Linked DNA regions of Mus musculus. The protein of the gene in region 1 binds, or shares a complex with, the protein of each later gene. Links are inferred from orthologs where the notes say so. Each region holds a gene or a part of one and is shown on either strand. Other genes may lie near its edges. The genes, in order: Ush1c, Anks4b, Cdhr5 and Cdhr2.

The links.
Region 2: Ush1c (region 1) and Anks4b share a complex: the UniProt entries of both Homo sapiens proteins name them as parts of the IMAC/intermicrovillar adhesion complex. The link is inferred for Mus musculus from reciprocal best matches to the Homo sapiens genes USH1C and ANKS4B.
Region 3: Ush1c (region 1) and Cdhr5 share a complex: the UniProt entries of both Homo sapiens proteins name them as parts of the IMAC/intermicrovillar adhesion complex. The link is inferred for Mus musculus from reciprocal best matches to the Homo sapiens genes USH1C and CDHR5.
Region 4: Ush1c (region 1) and Cdhr2 share a complex: the UniProt entries of both Homo sapiens proteins name them as parts of the IMAC/intermicrovillar adhesion complex. The link is inferred for Mus musculus from reciprocal best matches to the Homo sapiens genes USH1C and CDHR2.

What each region holds. Positions count from the first base shown.
Region 1 is NC_000073.6:46,224,945-46,228,508, forward strand, and holds part of Ush1c (harmonin), read right to left. Parts: intron 708-3,564; coding exon 599-707; intron 491-598; coding exon 466-490; intron 298-465; coding exon 240-297; intron 1-239. UniProt on the Homo sapiens protein: Anchoring/scaffolding protein that is a part of the functional network formed by USH1C, USH1G, CDH23 and MYO7A that mediates mechanotransduction in cochlear hair cells. Required for normal development and maintenance of cochlear hair cell bundles.
Region 2 is NC_000073.6:120,172,603-120,176,711, reverse strand, and holds the start of Anks4b (ankyrin repeat and SAM domain-containing protein 4B), read right to left. Parts: upstream 2,855-4,109; 5' UTR 2,794-2,854; coding exon 2,630-2,793; intron 1-2,629. UniProt on the Homo sapiens protein: As part of the intermicrovillar adhesion complex/IMAC plays a role in epithelial brush border differentiation, controlling microvilli organization and length. Plays a role in assembly of the complex.
Region 3 is NC_000073.6:141,273,928-141,278,217, forward strand, and holds the start of Cdhr5 (cadherin-related family member 5 isoform 1 precursor), read right to left. Parts: upstream 2,860-4,290; 5' UTR 2,792-2,859; coding exon 2,698-2,791; intron 2,620-2,697; coding exon 2,444-2,619; intron 2,112-2,443; coding exon 2,061-2,111; intron 613-2,060; coding exon 520-612; intron 341-519; coding exon 239-340; intron 131-238; coding exon 20-130; intron 1-19. UniProt on the Homo sapiens protein: Intermicrovillar adhesion molecule that forms, via its extracellular domain, calcium-dependent heterophilic complexes with CDHR2 on adjacent microvilli. Thereby, controls the packing of microvilli at the apical membrane of epithelial cells.
Region 4 is NC_000079.6:54,728,953-54,732,516, reverse strand, and holds part of Cdhr2 (cadherin-related family member 2 precursor), read right to left. Parts: intron 1,481-3,564; coding exon 1,332-1,480; intron 1,174-1,331; coding exon 1,065-1,173; intron 1-1,064. UniProt on the Homo sapiens protein: Intermicrovillar adhesion molecule that forms, via its extracellular domain, calcium-dependent heterophilic complexes with CDHR5 on adjacent microvilli. Thereby, controls the packing of microvilli at the apical membrane of epithelial cells.

The DNA.
Region 1 (3,564 bases):
CAGAATCAGGTTACTGGGTCTACATGCCTTCAAGTGGCCCTTTTAGCTTGAGACATACAGATTAAGTAGCCAATATTCATGGAGACTGGAGACATCATATCCTTGCGGTATGAGTCTGAAGGCCTACCATGCTATACCAGGTACCCTAGTGACCTATGGGGGACCCCGGGGTTACATTCCCCAGAGCCATTCCTTCTTCAAGGCCAGCTACCGAACCCCCATGGCAGGTAGTCTCTTACCCCAGATTCCGACACGAACTGATCCACATACTGCCATTTGAGGGACTCCTCAGGAGAGCTGAGGCGAAGGCAAGAGAGAAGATGGAGCCGGTAAGCACACTCGAGGGAGCTGGGTTCTGTGTCACTTCACCCCCGCAGCCCAGGAGCAGTGCAAGTTCAGGGCCTGGGGGTGGAGTAGATCCCAGGACTCTTGGCCTAGAGGAGACTCACAGATAAGCCTGCTTACCTCTTCACAGGGATCAGTCCGATGTCTGTGGGGAGGAAACAGCAGGTTAGGGAAGCTCCTATGCCCTTGGGGTTGGGGCCACCTCCCACCCAACCCCCATCCCAAAGCGCCATTCCTGTCCGGCCTCACTCACGTCTCACTTTGATGGACACGGTCTTCTTGGTGCGGATCAGGTTGATGACTTCCTCATGGGTACAGGAAGAGATGGAATAGCCGTTGATCCGGACAATTTCATCCCCTACCTGGGCAGAGAGAGAGATGCAACAGGCACAGGGGAGAGTGCCAAGCAGGGGAGCAGGCCCATTCCCAGGTGCTCCCCGCCCCAGAGGGGCTGTCATCAAGCAAAAGCTTTCATCTGTGCTTTAGTACTGTGTCGCAGCCTAACTACCCTCCGACAGCGGCAGGCAACACTTTTCAGCTCCAGGATGGAGAAAGCAAGATCTGAGCTGGGGAGAGGCATGCAGTTGGTGGGTAATGGAGCTGAGGCAGGGTTTGGAACTCTGTTACCGTCTCTTGGTTCCTCTGTCACCCCACTGAGGTGCAATCAGGTTCTGGAATCCAACATCCCTGTCTGGCCTTTGTCCCTCCCTGTCCTAGAAGCAGGCTTTTGTCTCTATCAATTACCAATTACTGAGATCTGAAATGGGGACGCATGACACTTGACCCAAACTCATATCACTAACACAAACATATAATCTCTTTTGTTCCATTCCATGGAAATGCAATGAAGTTAAACTGACTTCTGAGTTTTGATTCTGGAAGCAGGCAAAGAGCAGAGAATGAACCCACGGCTCTGTGCTCTGAGTTGAAATCTTTTTTTTTAAATTCAAGTCTTTTGGATTCTCTAAACCATGGTTTCTTTCATATATGAAGCAGAGAATACCATGGAGTTGTTGAGTGAGGATTAAGCAAACATATGTGCAAGTGTGTAAGGTCAGCCAGTATGGGGCCCACAGCAAGTTCTTAAGAAATGGTTGCTATTAAGGAGGCCTACTGAGCCAGTTCAAAGAGGCAGAGCATGATGAGACTGCCCCCTGCTGGCCATCGCTGCTGCCTCTACCAGAAAGCCGAAGGATCCTCGAACATCAACATCTCCTGAGAGAAGATAGGGAAGCTGAGGCAGAGGTGTATTGGTAATGGGCAAGAGACAGGTAGGGGTGCAAGACAATGGTGTATTGTCCAAGGACACGAAGACACACGGGGACAGAGCTCAGGCGTCGTGCAGATGAAGGCTGTGGCTTTGCCTGAAACCCCACGCATTACTGTTGGTCTCTTGGAGAAGGGTTGGCACATGTGGGGTCTCAGGTTAGACTCTGAGGGCACATGGTCTCTAGGTCAGTTCCCAGCCTACAATCTACAGTTACCTCTCATTACCACTAGGAAAGGGTGTGCCCATCTCTCTGGGACTCAAACACCCATCTCAGTGTCCTGATAGGAGGGCTCTCCAAAGAACTTGCTGCGTTTCTGGGGACAGTGACTTCAAAGAGAACATCCAGATAGCTTCCTGAACCTATGTTTTTCAATCCAAAGGGTAAGAACTTGTGTTTCTGCTCTGCATAGAACTTGCCAAAAGGCCTTTATGTAGGGACCACTGTGGCACTGTGAAGAGATGGGGCATCAGGAGGAACTGATTTGTTCAAAGTCACCCAGTGAGCCAAGAGGCTGCTGGGATGTGTCGTCAGGTCTCCGTGACAGACAACACATGCTGGCTCTTGGGTGTCTGGAAAAGGAGGGCATGTGGCCAAGCCTGGCTGCAGTTCCTTGCACATTGCCTGCTATGGAGTCCTGCCACTTGTTCAGAGTCCCGGAGTTCCATAAGAAGGCAGGGATTACTTTGTGCATCTTATAGCAGAGCCAGGGAAGGGGGGCAGAATCATTTTCTACACAAGTAAACAGCTAGTTGCATACGTGCATGAATAAAGGACACAGTTAAACATAAAGAAGGTATTGTTAAAAACCTAAGTATCCTGGAGGGGACAGAAGCAATGTGACTAAAGTCCCAGGACCAGGACCTGCTGGAGGGTTCAAGCCCCTGCAGGGCCTGCAGCATCCCAGGGCAAATCCCTCTTGACTTCTAGAATCTTCTCTGTGCTGTCCTCCAGCACAAGAAACGTGAACCCTGGTTTGATCAATGGATGAAGGCGATTTTCTCCTAGCTCCTCCTGAGTGGAGTTCCCTGTATTGTTACTACAGGACCCTAGTCGGAGTGATTCCCCCACAGCCCCTGGAGAGGGTTGCAGGATCAACTTCCCTCTCCCTCCTTGCTCTACACAGAACCCTGCAAAAGAGCCTTTGTACGGAGCTCATAGTAACATGACAATCTGAGGGATTGTAGGACAAAGAGGAGATGGGCCCCAGGGCCCCGGAAAGGGGGAGTGCTATTTCATAAGCCTGAGAAGCAGGTGGGAAGTTGGATGTCTGGGTTTCCTGAGTGCGCCCTGATGCCCTCCTTCATGGGTCTCTGCAGGAAAGCGCTTGTCCTCAGAGGAGAGCTTGTGCTGGAAAAAAAGGGGGGCCCAGCTGTCCCCAAGAGGGGAGCTCATTATGCTCTCTCCTCTGGCCGTGTTTCTGGGCTGGAAAATGTGCCACCGAGGGAAGGAACAATGAGGGGGCTGAAATTTCAGATGCTACCGGGAGCCCTGAGACAGGGATTGTGAACAAAGCCCTGACTGTCATCTTGCTGTCCCCACCCCCTCCTCCCTGGTCTCGCACCATCAGTCCTAGAGCCCCCTGAAGCCCCTGGCTTATTCCCCGATGGGGATGTTGATAACAAAATCCCTGGAAGTCTCTTTACCTGGAGAGACATAAGCAGCCCTCAGACCTGGAGGCCTGCTTGTCCCTGCTCAGACACGAAAGTGTGGGGACTGTATGGGAGAAGCCTGGGGTGCTGGCCTGGATCCAGAAGACCCAGGTTCAAAGCCTGGCTCTGCTGCTCACTGACTTCTGCACCTCTATGAACACTTTAAAATGGGGCTGATTCATCTGATGCGTACTGACTTGATTTGGTTGGAGGTGGTCACCAGTTCACTGCTCTGTATGGACCTGTCAGTCTCACAGCTCTGGTGTATCAAGAAGCTGTGCTGACTGCCTCATTCACTC
Region 2 (4,109 bases), about 74 Mb from region 1:
AAATATATATTATATATGCATGTATTCAATAAGTACATATTATGTGTATATATATATATATATAAGTATTTATACTTACAGTATTAATTGTTAAAATATTGTCAACTTTCATAATATATATGATAAAGAGTTGATGCTGTTAAGTTTAAAAGCCTTTTGAAGGCTATGAGATGGGTCAGTGGGTAAATTGTTCACTGTACAAGGCTAAGGCCCTAAGTTCAGATGCCCAGGACTCACATAAAGCCAGATCAAAGGCTTCTTCATCATTTTCCTGGCAAAATGAGAGGCAGAGACAGGAGAGTCCTTGGGGGGTCATGGGTCAGCTAATCTGAGATCACAAGAGACCTGTTCTCAAACACTGTGGAAAGTGGACGCCTGACAACCAAGGCTGTCCTCTGATCTCTACATATGCATCCTGGTATGCTGACACTACCATTAACCTCTCTCTCCCTCCCCCCCCCTCTCTCTCTCTCTCTCTCTCGCACATACACACACACACACACACCTTCTCTGAAAGCCAATTTTATAAATCAATATTTAAGAACCTGTTATAAAACTGGGGCAATGTTATAGACTCGCAGACAGAAATGTAAGGGCTGCTCAGCACTGGCGTTCTCAGTCTCACCAGGACCCTGCCTTTCCCCTTGTAAAAGTGATTCCCTATCGAAGAAGGGAACTTGCTTTTCCTAGTTGTCTTTGCCTGTACCTCCTCTCTCTCCTATCATGGGGGAGGGGGGGCTCCACCTTTGCCCTCCCTAGAGGTGGCAGCCATAAGAACCCATCATGGAAACAGAAAATTGATCTCTCCAGGTACCAAACTTCTTGCCAACTTGATCTTAGACTTCCTGGCTGCTCTTAAAATTATGAGAATAAGTTTTATCCTCTCTGAGTTACCTTGTCTGAGGTATTTCGTTATCATAGCACAAGTGTAGGCCAACTGACAACTTTAGTTCTGAGAATTTGCACTCGGAAAAAAAAAAGTATGGACCAGGACTTACGTGGAAGAACAATCATCACAACACTGCCAACTAGAAAAAAAAATGTAACAAATAGGGGGATAACCTAAGAAATAAATTTGCTGGTTATGATACTAAAGGTGTAAATTAAATAGAGAGTGTTGCATACTTCACTGCTGTAGCAAAACTGAGACATTAACTCAAAAAAAAAAAAAGAAAGACCTAACTTGAATAAAGCTTCAGGAGATGCCGTATAGAGAGTGAGCACGCTCTTTCTGACATGTTCCCCAGTCCAACGAGGTGGCCAGACCCGCAATCTGTTTAATCCAAACATGGATGTTGACCCTCGTCTTCCTTTACTTGCCACATCCAATCACTCTCTGACATCCAAACTGTCACTCACATCTCTGTGTCTACCCACGCCCAGTGTTACCACGTGAGTTTCACTTTACCTTGAATGTCCCTAGACATTCTCTGTGACCACTGTACAATCACCAGAACAATATTCATAAGCATAAATCTATCTGATGGCCTCCTTTGTAAATAGAGGGTGTGGTGTCTAGGCTCTCAGGAGAAGATTGAAGTTCTCAGCAGAATTCTCAAGGCTCCTGATAGTCTGGTCTTATGGCTTAGGTTCTGTCCCTGTGCAGGTCAGGTCCAGCCAAGCTCAATGTCTTCCATCCTCGGAATGCACAGTGTTCTGCCTTAGGGGGAAAACACTTCCCTCCACCTCGATCAGCTCCTTGTCTTTCTAATGTCAGCTTAATTTCCCTTCCCTGGCACGAGCTTTATCACATCTACCCAAAGCCGCTCGCTTGGCTTCCCCTCTCAGATCTGATTGCCACAGGAACACTAGGATGTTCTGTTGATCAGCACCATCTGGGCAGCACCAAAAATATATGAGAAGAATTGGAATCAGAGGAGGAAGGAGTGGAAGAAAGAGAAAGAGGAAGAAGGAGAGAGAAGGAGGAGAGGTGGACTGTCACCTGCCAGATGCTAAATATGCACTGTCCTGGAATCACTTGGCTCTCTTACTCTTTACCTCCCCTCCCGTCCTCCCACTCCCACTCCTCTCATTCTCCCAGACTCCTCTTTCGCTCCATTTCTGCCCATCTTAAGTCGTAGCTGCCTACCCTGACTAGCCCTCTGGCAATGAGCAGGACAAGCAGAATAAAAGAGTTAGCAAAGACTTGAATTTAAAGGTAAGGGATGGTGTGTGTATGTGTGTGTGTGAAGATTGAAGACTCATTTTATAGCTTGTAAAGCCAGAAATTTCATTCAAAAATTCAGCTTACACCAAGGCCGAGTGTTCATAAAAGATAGTTTTTAGTGACACAATTGAAAACGTAAAATAAAGCCATGTCCTAACCAAGGAGGATGACTGAACCAAAAAGCATGGTGACCTCTTTTTAAGGAGTTAACCATTTCAATTCCATGGATATGACTTTCAGGGCATATAGTTCCAATGCCTACCCCCACCCCTCTGCCTGAGTGACTCCTAAATGGCTGTTTTCACAGGGAAAGAAACCATACCTAGCTTAGTCTTGACTCTTTCTCTAAAAGCCAAAGACTTAGGGAGCCTAGAAAGAAGTAAAATGTCTTCGTGGATGTCTCTGTCTCTTACTGCCGGTGTGGTACTCCCCACCCAGGATACCCTAACAGGAATCACTCACCCTCTACTGCAGATTATTTCTAGGGCCTCGAGGTTGCCGTGGTAGGCTGCCAGGAGAGTGGGTGTCATGCCATCCTCATCTGAGAGATTCAGATCACGCTTGGTGGCCTCCTTCAGAAGTTCCAGGTAGCTGTCACTCGCTGCTTGGTGATAGCGGGTAGACATTTTTTCTGCCCACCAGAGCTTGGCCAGGTAGGAGTCTTTGTCTAGGCAGAGCTGGTAACACAGTCTTCCAACAGGGCTGGTTAATCAGTGACGGGGAGTATCACCCCAGGCCAAAGTTCACTCCGGCCTTGCTCCTTGGAAGGCAGCCAGCCAGGAAGACCTGCAATCCTGGACTTGGGCCTTTCCTTTGGGGACCAACCATGGCAATGACCACTGAGGCCTGACAGGTGTGTCATGAGTGTGGTGAAGCACGTTTAATCTTTACTGTGTCCATTAACTAGTGTCAGATGTGATACTGACCACCCACTCACAGAATATGGGAAATAATCTCAAAAAACTCTGAACTGTTTAAGTTCACTTGGGTGGGAGAAGGGGTGTTTTAATAGATTTTAGGGGGTCTAATTTGTACAACTTGAATTTAGCCATTTGAAGTATAAAATAAAAGATCTTAGTAAATTTACAGTTGTGAAATCTTTGCTATAACATGGAGGAGAGAAGGCCGATTGACAGGCCAGAAGACAAACAGGTCACTCTCCAGGAACTGCCACAAAAAAGCTTGGTCTAGAGAGTGTCACAAAAAGGAAACAGCACTTTCTTTTTTAAAAATCTTTTATAAATATTTCTATTATACATAAATACACATATGTCATTATATATACATATATATGTATATGATTAATATTTATAGATATTTTTAAATGATTCAAGTAGCAATACCCAGGCTATAGGAAAGAGAGGAATTGATGTTAGGGTTTTTTAATTGGTTATTTTGTTTATTTACAATTCAAATATTATCCCCTTCCCAGTTTCCCCTCCGAAAACCTCTATTCCATCTCCCCTTTCCCCTGCTTGCATAAGGGTGCTATCCCACCTACCTACTCCTGCCCCACCTCTCTAGCATTCCCCTATGCTGGGGCATCAAGCCTTCACAGGACGAAGGGCCTCCCCTCCCAGTGATGCCAGATAAGGCCATCCTCTGCTACATATGCAGCTGGAGCCATGGGTACCTCCATGTGTTCTCTTTGGTTAGTAGTTTAGTCCCTAGGAGCTCTGGTGGGTCTGGTTGGTTCATATTGTTGTTCCTCCTATGGGGTTGCAAACCCCTTCAGCTCCTTTAGTCCTTCCCCTAACTCCTCCATTGTGGTCCCTGTGCTCAATCTGATGGTTTGACTGTGAGCATTCACATCTGTACTGCTCCCAGCTCTGGCAGAGCCTCTCAGGAGGACAGCTATACCAGGCTCCTGTCAGCAAGTGCTTCTTGGCATCAGCAATAGTGTCTGGGTTTGGTGTCTGCAGATGGGATGGATCCCTAGGTA
Region 3 (4,290 bases), about 95 Mb from region 1:
GAAGATGTGATCCACTTACCCGTGCCAGCAGCATGAAGGTCATGTTCTGATTCTTGAAGTAATCCAGGGTCTGGTCCAACTTCAGAGCAGGGTAGTTTACGCCCTCCAGGGAGAAGAACTTGCTGGCATTCTGTGGAGGGGAAGGAGGTGGGACTCTGGAAGGTGGAGAAACTGAGGCCTGAAGGCATCAGAAAGAGTGAGGGTTGTCAATAATGAGTGGGGCTGGGGAAGCACTGACGGGGGTCACTTCCTGCAGAGTGTAGACTAGGATGTCATTTATGTCAGCATCTGTAGCCTTCAGCTGTGTCTCAGGGATGACGGTTGTATTCACTTTGGTGTCCTGGGAATGGAGAAGAGGAGGTTGGTCCAGCCATGCTGTGGTTTCTGTATATAGATCTTCCCGATGTGGTCCCGCAGACACCCTGTGTCCCCCTGCAGACACCCTGTGTCCCCCTGCAGACACCCTGTGTCCCCCTGCCTCTCCATGCTCAAGACAGCACTGGTTCCGACTGGGCTCACCTCCGATACATTAAATGTCTTGATTTCAAAGGAGAATTTTGGCGCATTGTCATTGATATCCAGGACAGCCACAAACACCTCCAGGCGTACCACCTGCAGCAAAGTCACCAAAGTCAGCAATGCTCTGATGACCCATCATTCATTCATTCCTTTTCTTATCTGTTTCATTATTCTTATCTTATTCATTCAGTCAGTCAGTCATTCTTTCCCTTTCATTCCACAGCTCTGATGGCAGCAATAATGTGGTGGCCTGTGAGCTACTGTTCTAGGAGGAACGTAGACTGTAAAAACAAGTTTTAGAGTGTGGCCACATGTGTGTGGTGGGTGGGCTGAAGAGAAATGATGACAATCCCAGGGCCACAACCAGCAACGCATCGAAGGGAGAAAAACAGCCTCTCGCGGCTTCAGAAACAGGTCTCCAAGAGAAGATCAGAGAAAGGGGCCTTTAGGTTAAAACCAAACAGCTTTATTCCATGAGAGAACCCTTCCTGAGACCCAGGGAGAAACGAACACAGCCAGGTGCTGGAGGACAGAGAGAAAGCTGTTCTTCTCAGGTGTGACAGATACCAAGTCCATGCCTCTCTCTGTCTTCCTGTTTCTGTCTCTGTCTCTCTGTGTATCTGTATGTCTGTGTATGTGTGTGAATTATATTCATGTGTTGAAGGTGGAGCCCAGGGCTTCAAATCATACTAGGCAGATACTCTACCACTGAACTATACCAAAAAAAAAAAATAAGTTTTGTCTTGTTTTGTTTTTTTAATATTACTACCTATTAGAGACGTGGCCCAAGATGTGTGTGGTAACATGTCATGGAGCCAGGTAGGAGTGCAGGGTGTGAGAGTTGCTCATGGTGAAGCAGAAATTATGTGGGGCCTGTTATTTCTTCGAGCTTCCTTTAGTAAAAGGCTTGTGGTGGAGGCTGAGGGATACGATGTATGGGATAGGGTAGCGGGGCAGCATAACGTAGGAGGGTTAAGCATCAAAATGAATTTGCATACCAGATCAGTGTCTGCATGCCCTAGCCTGCCTCACCCACCCACCTGTGCATTTAGCTTTGGAGTCCGGTAAGAAACGTAGAAGTTTCTGTGTGAGGCTGTCTGGGGTTGTGGTTATGACTCTCTAGGGATTCACTATGTGGGGGAAGGAATAGAGAAGGACCAAGGGCACGGAGAGCAAATGGATCTGCGGCAGGGTCAGAAAGGAGACCTGCTGCCCAAGGCCCCGTGGGACTAGAGGTAGGAAGAGTAGGGCTGACTCTAACTGAGGCACAACCGACAATCCCAACAATGTACCTGGGGTGGGGTGACCTCAAAAGGGGCCTAAGTGGCTGGCAGGTGAGGGATGAGAGGCAGACTTAGGGCCTCAGGGTATTGACTTAATCCACAGCTCTAAGTTAGCTGACTTTGAGTCTGGAGCTCAGGGAAGTCTAGGCTGAAAGAAGCAAGCGTGGGAGTGGCCAGGAGAGAGCTGAGGTCATGGGGGAATGGCCTTGGGGTACTCTGACAGAAGGCAGAGGTGATCAGGTACTGGGGTTAACTTACCACCGCATCTCCTCTCTTACACTCCACATCTGCCTGGAGCAATGAGTTTTCCTAAGGATGAAGCCAGGGGCCCTATGAGTCACTTGCCACATAAGGAGCTATGCTGCTCTAGAACGGGAGAGTACGGCTAGGAGAGCAGGTACCGCTCCAGCGCCCCAGTCATCTGTGGGAAATCCTGGGTGTGTGGGGGGGGGCATTTGGCAGCTTTGTCCCCTACGGCCCTCCCCCTCAGTACCAACCAACCGACCACAGGGCCTGAAGGGTTCCTCACTCAGGGGGATAGAGAACCCTCAGCCCCTCCTTCCCTGAATCTTCCCCAGGTTAGGAGGCCCGCCCATGTATGTCTCCATGAAGGCACATTCCATCCAGCCTACAGACTGTACCTCATAATCTGGAGTCACGTTGAGAAACAGATCTTTTCCTTCGATCCTAAAGGCATAAGGAGTGGACAAGGGTCCCAAGGTCACGTGCAGGCCGTCTGGGACAAAAATGTTCACCAGTGGCTCAGAAACAGTGGTGTTCTCCTCGACTCTAAATATGGTCTGGTTCACAGAGCAGACTAGAAAGTTGGAAAGAAGAAGTTGGTTCCTCATCAGAGCTCTGCCACCCACCTGTCCTGCCCCTGCCCGACACATACCCTGGGTCTGGGCCAAGGTCCCCGGAGGTTGGCCAAACAGCACTGTGAGCCATGGCAACAGCAGGGAAGGCCACAGGAGGGCCGGAGCCCCCATGGCGGCAGCTGTCACCTGGAAGAAGGATCCAGCTTGCTTGGTTCCAGGGCTGGTACAATTCCTGCCTTGGCGACCTTCGCCCCTGCCAGGCACCGCCTCATTTTATGACCCTTTACAGATGGCCTCTATCAAGGGGACTCCCGCTGGCCGGCACTAACAGGGGACATGAGGTCATATTTCGGCCTGGACTTCCAGGAAGTTAGCTGGAGACTCAACCCACGGGAACTACACATAAGGTGTATGAAGCTTGAGAACAAGGAGGAGTGGAGAATAGGTGTGGGGAGCCAGGGCAAGGCTCTGGGGCCATAGATCTAAGGAGGCTGAGTCAGGGCTGGGGGCTGAAGCAGGCCTGTGGGATGGAACCATGGGTCTGGGGAGCTGGGGCAGGGCTATGGGGAGCTGGGGCAGGGCTATGGAGAGCTGGGGCAGGGCTATGGAGAGCTGGGGCAGGGCTGTGGGGAACTGGGGCAGGGCTGTAGGGAGCTGAGTCAGGGCTGGGGGCTGAAGCAGGCCTGTGGGATGGAACCATGGGTCTGGGGAGCTGGGGCAGGGCTGTGGGGAGCTGGGGCAGGGCTATGGAGAGCTGGGGCAGGGCTGTGGGGAATGGGGGCAGGGCTGTGGGGAGCTGGGAGCAAGAACAGGCTGAGCCATTGGGTCTACTGTAGCCCTCATTGGGGTGTCCCTCATCTTGTCTCTTTCTCCTCAGTGTTCTCTAGCAAAATCCCTGGAGCTATGTCATGTCGTCTCCCTTCCCTTCCCTCGTCCACTCCCAAGGGAAATGGCTGTGTCCCAGTATGCTCCTGCTGTATGAGAAACACAGCAGTTCCCCCAGGGTAGGGCCTGGCAGAGCCTTGGTTGGTGTTAGGATGCAGATAGAACCTTTCAGCCACAGCTAGGAGCTGGGGTTTGGGGAGCCAGTATCTGATGGAAGACAGGAATCCTGGTGAGGACACAGCCCAGGCCTCCATTAGATATGCTTCCTCTCCTTTTGCCTGTAAGCTCTCAGAGATAGGAAGAAGGCCCTGGGTGGGATCAGGAGGGTCGTAGGGGGTGTTCTGTTGAAAGGGCCTGCACAGCTCTCACTACTGTGGGCCTTTGCAGGGCTGGCTGCTTTAGGTGTCTGAAAACCTTCCCGAGGCTCCAAGCCTCTGCAAAGACTGAGCACTGTCTCACAACCCTTCACTGGTCCTACAGCTGCCTACTGGGAGATGACATCACCGTCAGGCCTCAGGCCTAGACATGTTAGAGCCAGGATGTACTCAGGTCCTCCCACTCATAAGCGGACCCCTATGACCCCGCCTGAGCCTCCTCCTCACCACTTCATTTACCCTGGCCACATGGCTGGACCAGGGTGGGGAGTCCCTGATCCCTAGAAATTTTGCTAAATGGACCACAGGGCAAGGTGGCACTCTAGGGAATTCAGCTGGGAAAAGAGGGGTTCAGCTGATGCCAGAGATAAGAAATGTCCTAGCTGGCTTCTTGGGTTCAAAGGGCAGCTG
Region 4 (3,564 bases), on another chromosome or scaffold:
TCTTGTCTCTGATATGTGGGTGAGAACATCAAAGTGTGATTGTGTGTGTGTGTGTGTCAGTGTGTGTGTCTCTGTGTACCTCTGTGTGTGTGTCAGTATATGTGTGTCTATGTTTGTGTATGTGTGTATCTCTGTGTGTCTGTGTGTGTTTGTGTATCTCTGTGTGTGTGTCTATGTGTGTGTGTATCTCTGTGTACCTGTGTGTGTCTGTGTGTCAGTGTATGTGTGTATGTATGTATCTCTGTATATCTGTATATGTTTGTGTATCTCTCTGTGTGTGTCTATGTTTGTGTTTGTGTGTGTCTCTGTGTGTCTGTGTGTGTGTGTGTGTGTGTCACTGTATGTGTGTATGTATGTGTCTATGTGTGCATTTGTGTGTATCTCTGTATGTCTGTGTGTGTCTCTGTATGTTTGTGTATCTCTCTGTTTGTGTCCTACCGTGTATCTAGGGCGGTGTGTGGGTGTGGGAGTGCTGTGTCTCTGTGTGTGTGTCTATTTGTGTATTTATGTATATTTCTGTATTTGTGTATGTGTGTGTGTTTGCATGTCAGAGTGTGTGTGTGTGTGTGTATGTGTGTAAGTCTGTGTGTGTCTGTGTGTATATGTCTCTGTGTGTCTGTGTGTGTCTGTGTTTGTGCATGTGTGTCTGTGTGTGTGTGTCTCTGTGTATCTCTGTGTGTGTCTGTGTCTATGCGTCTGTGTATCTGTGTGTGTGTGGTTTATGATTTGTTTTAAGGCCAGGTCTTGCTATGGAGCCCAGGCTGGCCTCAAATTCAAGCTGCTCCTGCTTTTGTCCCCCAAACGACAGGGTGACAGGTCCATCTGACTATGACAAGTATTCTGGATAAAACTTCAGCAAAGCGTGCCTTTAATCCCAGAACTTGGTAGACAAAGACAATTGGTTGTCTGTGAGTTCAAGGTCAGCCTCGTCTACACCGGTGCTCCAGGCCAGCCAGAGCTACATAGTGAGAACCTGTCTTACAACAACATAATATAAAAACAAACAAAAGAGGAACACAGGCTAGCGGAGAACAGCAGGGGCTAGAGGCAGGGAAAGCACTCACATTCAGAGTGGTCTGTGTCTCTAGGGCAGGACCCAATGTGGGCTGATCTTGGGCCTGAACTGTCACCTGGTATGTGCCTTGGATAGTAGAATCTAGGTTGGTCACCAACCTATGAGAGAAGTAAAGACATAGCTTTATTCCATAAGCAAATCTGGGTTCTTACAGTCCTACTGAAAAAACACCTGTACACACTCCAGGATGGAGACCCTGCCTCAGCCTTGGGCTCCCTCTCCCCTCCCCCCTCCCAGGAGGCCATCACCACAGTACTCGATGCTGCCAGTGAACAGGCCAGCTTCCACTGATCTGGTAATCCGGAAGACCTGGACAGGGTTGGAAGTTCCATCTTTGCGGACAAATTCTGCTTTCAGGATGGAGAACATGATGATCCCATTGTCTTCTGAGTCCTCATCTCTGGCCTGGAGCAAGAGTGGATGTCTGGGGAGAGGCCGGGAAAGGCCTCCCATTCCCACCACAATCAGACGCTACAGTGGCCACTACAGAGCAGAGCTACTTTCTTATAGGTCTCACCATATAGTCCTGGCTGGCCTGGAACTCACTGTTACACCAGAATGGCCTTGAATTTTCTGTGATCCTCCTGCCGCTGCCTCAAAAGACTACAGAAATGTACATCACACCTGGCTTGGGCTTTTTAAAGATCAAGGTCACTACACATCCACATTTGCCTACGTTTTTTCTTGTGTACCCCAATATAACAGATCAACACCCTAAGCCCTCCTGTACTTAAAGCTGCCCCACTCTCTATTCAATTGCCAGGCACATACACACTCATTCCCAATCACAGCCTTGCTCAGCTCAAGAGCACCTACTGTGTGTATCCTCTCTCTAAAGCCCTCACTTCAGTCCTGTCTACATTCTCTAGTGGATCGGAAATGGACAAGAAGGAGGGACGAACATCTGGATTCATTCTAGTGTCTTAAAAAAGAATAAAACAGGTACATAGGGCTTCTAGCTCAGGGTGATGAATGTCTGGGCTTCTGGTTGTAAAAAGGAATTAATTAAAAAAAAAAAAAAAAAGCACGAGTTTGGAACCCAAGCAGTGGTGGCACACACCTTTAATCATAGCACGTGGGATGCAAAGGCAGGCAGAGCTCTGTGAGTTCAAGAACAGCTCTACAGAGTAAGTTCCAGGAAGCCAGAGCTGTTACACAGAGAAACCCAATCTTGGGAAGCAAAACAAACAAACAAACCAAAAAAAAAAAAAAAAAAAAAAAAAAAAAAAAAGCAGTGTTTGCCAGTAAAGTGCTTACCCTGCAGGCCCAAGGGCCTGACCTGTGTTTGGCTTTCAGAGACCACATAAAAGACCAGGTACAGACTCTAGCTGCATATGTATCAAAAGATGGCCTAGGCGGCCATCACTGGAAAGAGAGGCCCATTGGACACGCAAACTTTATATGCCCCAGTACAGGGGAACGCCAGGGCCAAAAAAGGGGAGTGGGTGGGTAGGGGAGTGGGGGTGGGTGGCTATGGGGGACTTTTGGTATAGCATTGGAAATGTAAATGAGCTAAATACCTAATAAAAAATGGAAAAAAAAAAAAAAAAGAAAAGACACAAGCTAACAGAATAAATGTGAAAACAGGACCCATCATTCTGCTGCATGCAAGAAACACAGCTCAGAATCAAAGATGACATTACTGCAAAGTAAAGGGCTGAAAAAATATTTTTAAGCAAAAAAATCTAAGAAACAAGCTTGAGTAGCCATCCTAATATCCAATAAAATAGACTTTCAACCAAAATTAATCAAAAGAGACAAGGAAGAACACTTCATACTCATCAAAGGAAAAAAAAAAAAAAAGACCAGGTACATTGGGATACACTTGTAATCTCAGCAAAGGGGAGGTGGGAACAGGTGTATCCCTGGGCCTGTCAGCCTAATAGGCAAGTTCCAGGCTACTGTGAGATCCTGTCTCCATTTAATAGCAGGATGAGGGGTGGCTCCTAAGGAACAATGCCCTACACTGGTTTTAGCACACACATGCTCATACCACCTACACGAATACGCAAATACACACACACACACATACACTCGGCCTAGCACATGCATACATGCCCAGGAGCATGTGAACCCACCTACACATGTGTTCCAGTGCACATGTGCAAAAGAAAACAATTCAAAGCCATGACTAAACTGGGACACTGGCATTCTGTTGGCTTGGAAATTAACTGGGTGAAGCCTTGTAAGAATCTAGAAAGAGGAATTTGCTGTCCCCAGGAGAATTCCTGTCCTAAGGACACCCTCAACTCTCTATGGGGACGGCCAGGCCTTTCCTAGTGCAGGAGCCTCTTGTCAAAGAGGCAGACTGAGCTGGGCGCAGTGACCCATGCCTTTAATCTCAGTATTGCAGAAGCAGAGGCAGGTGGATTCCAGGCAAAGCTGGTTTGCATAGTGAGTTCCAAAATAGCCAAGGCTACATGGTCAGAACCTGTCTCAAACTACACACAGAAAGGAAGGAAACTTAATCCCAGAGAAGCACGGCAGCT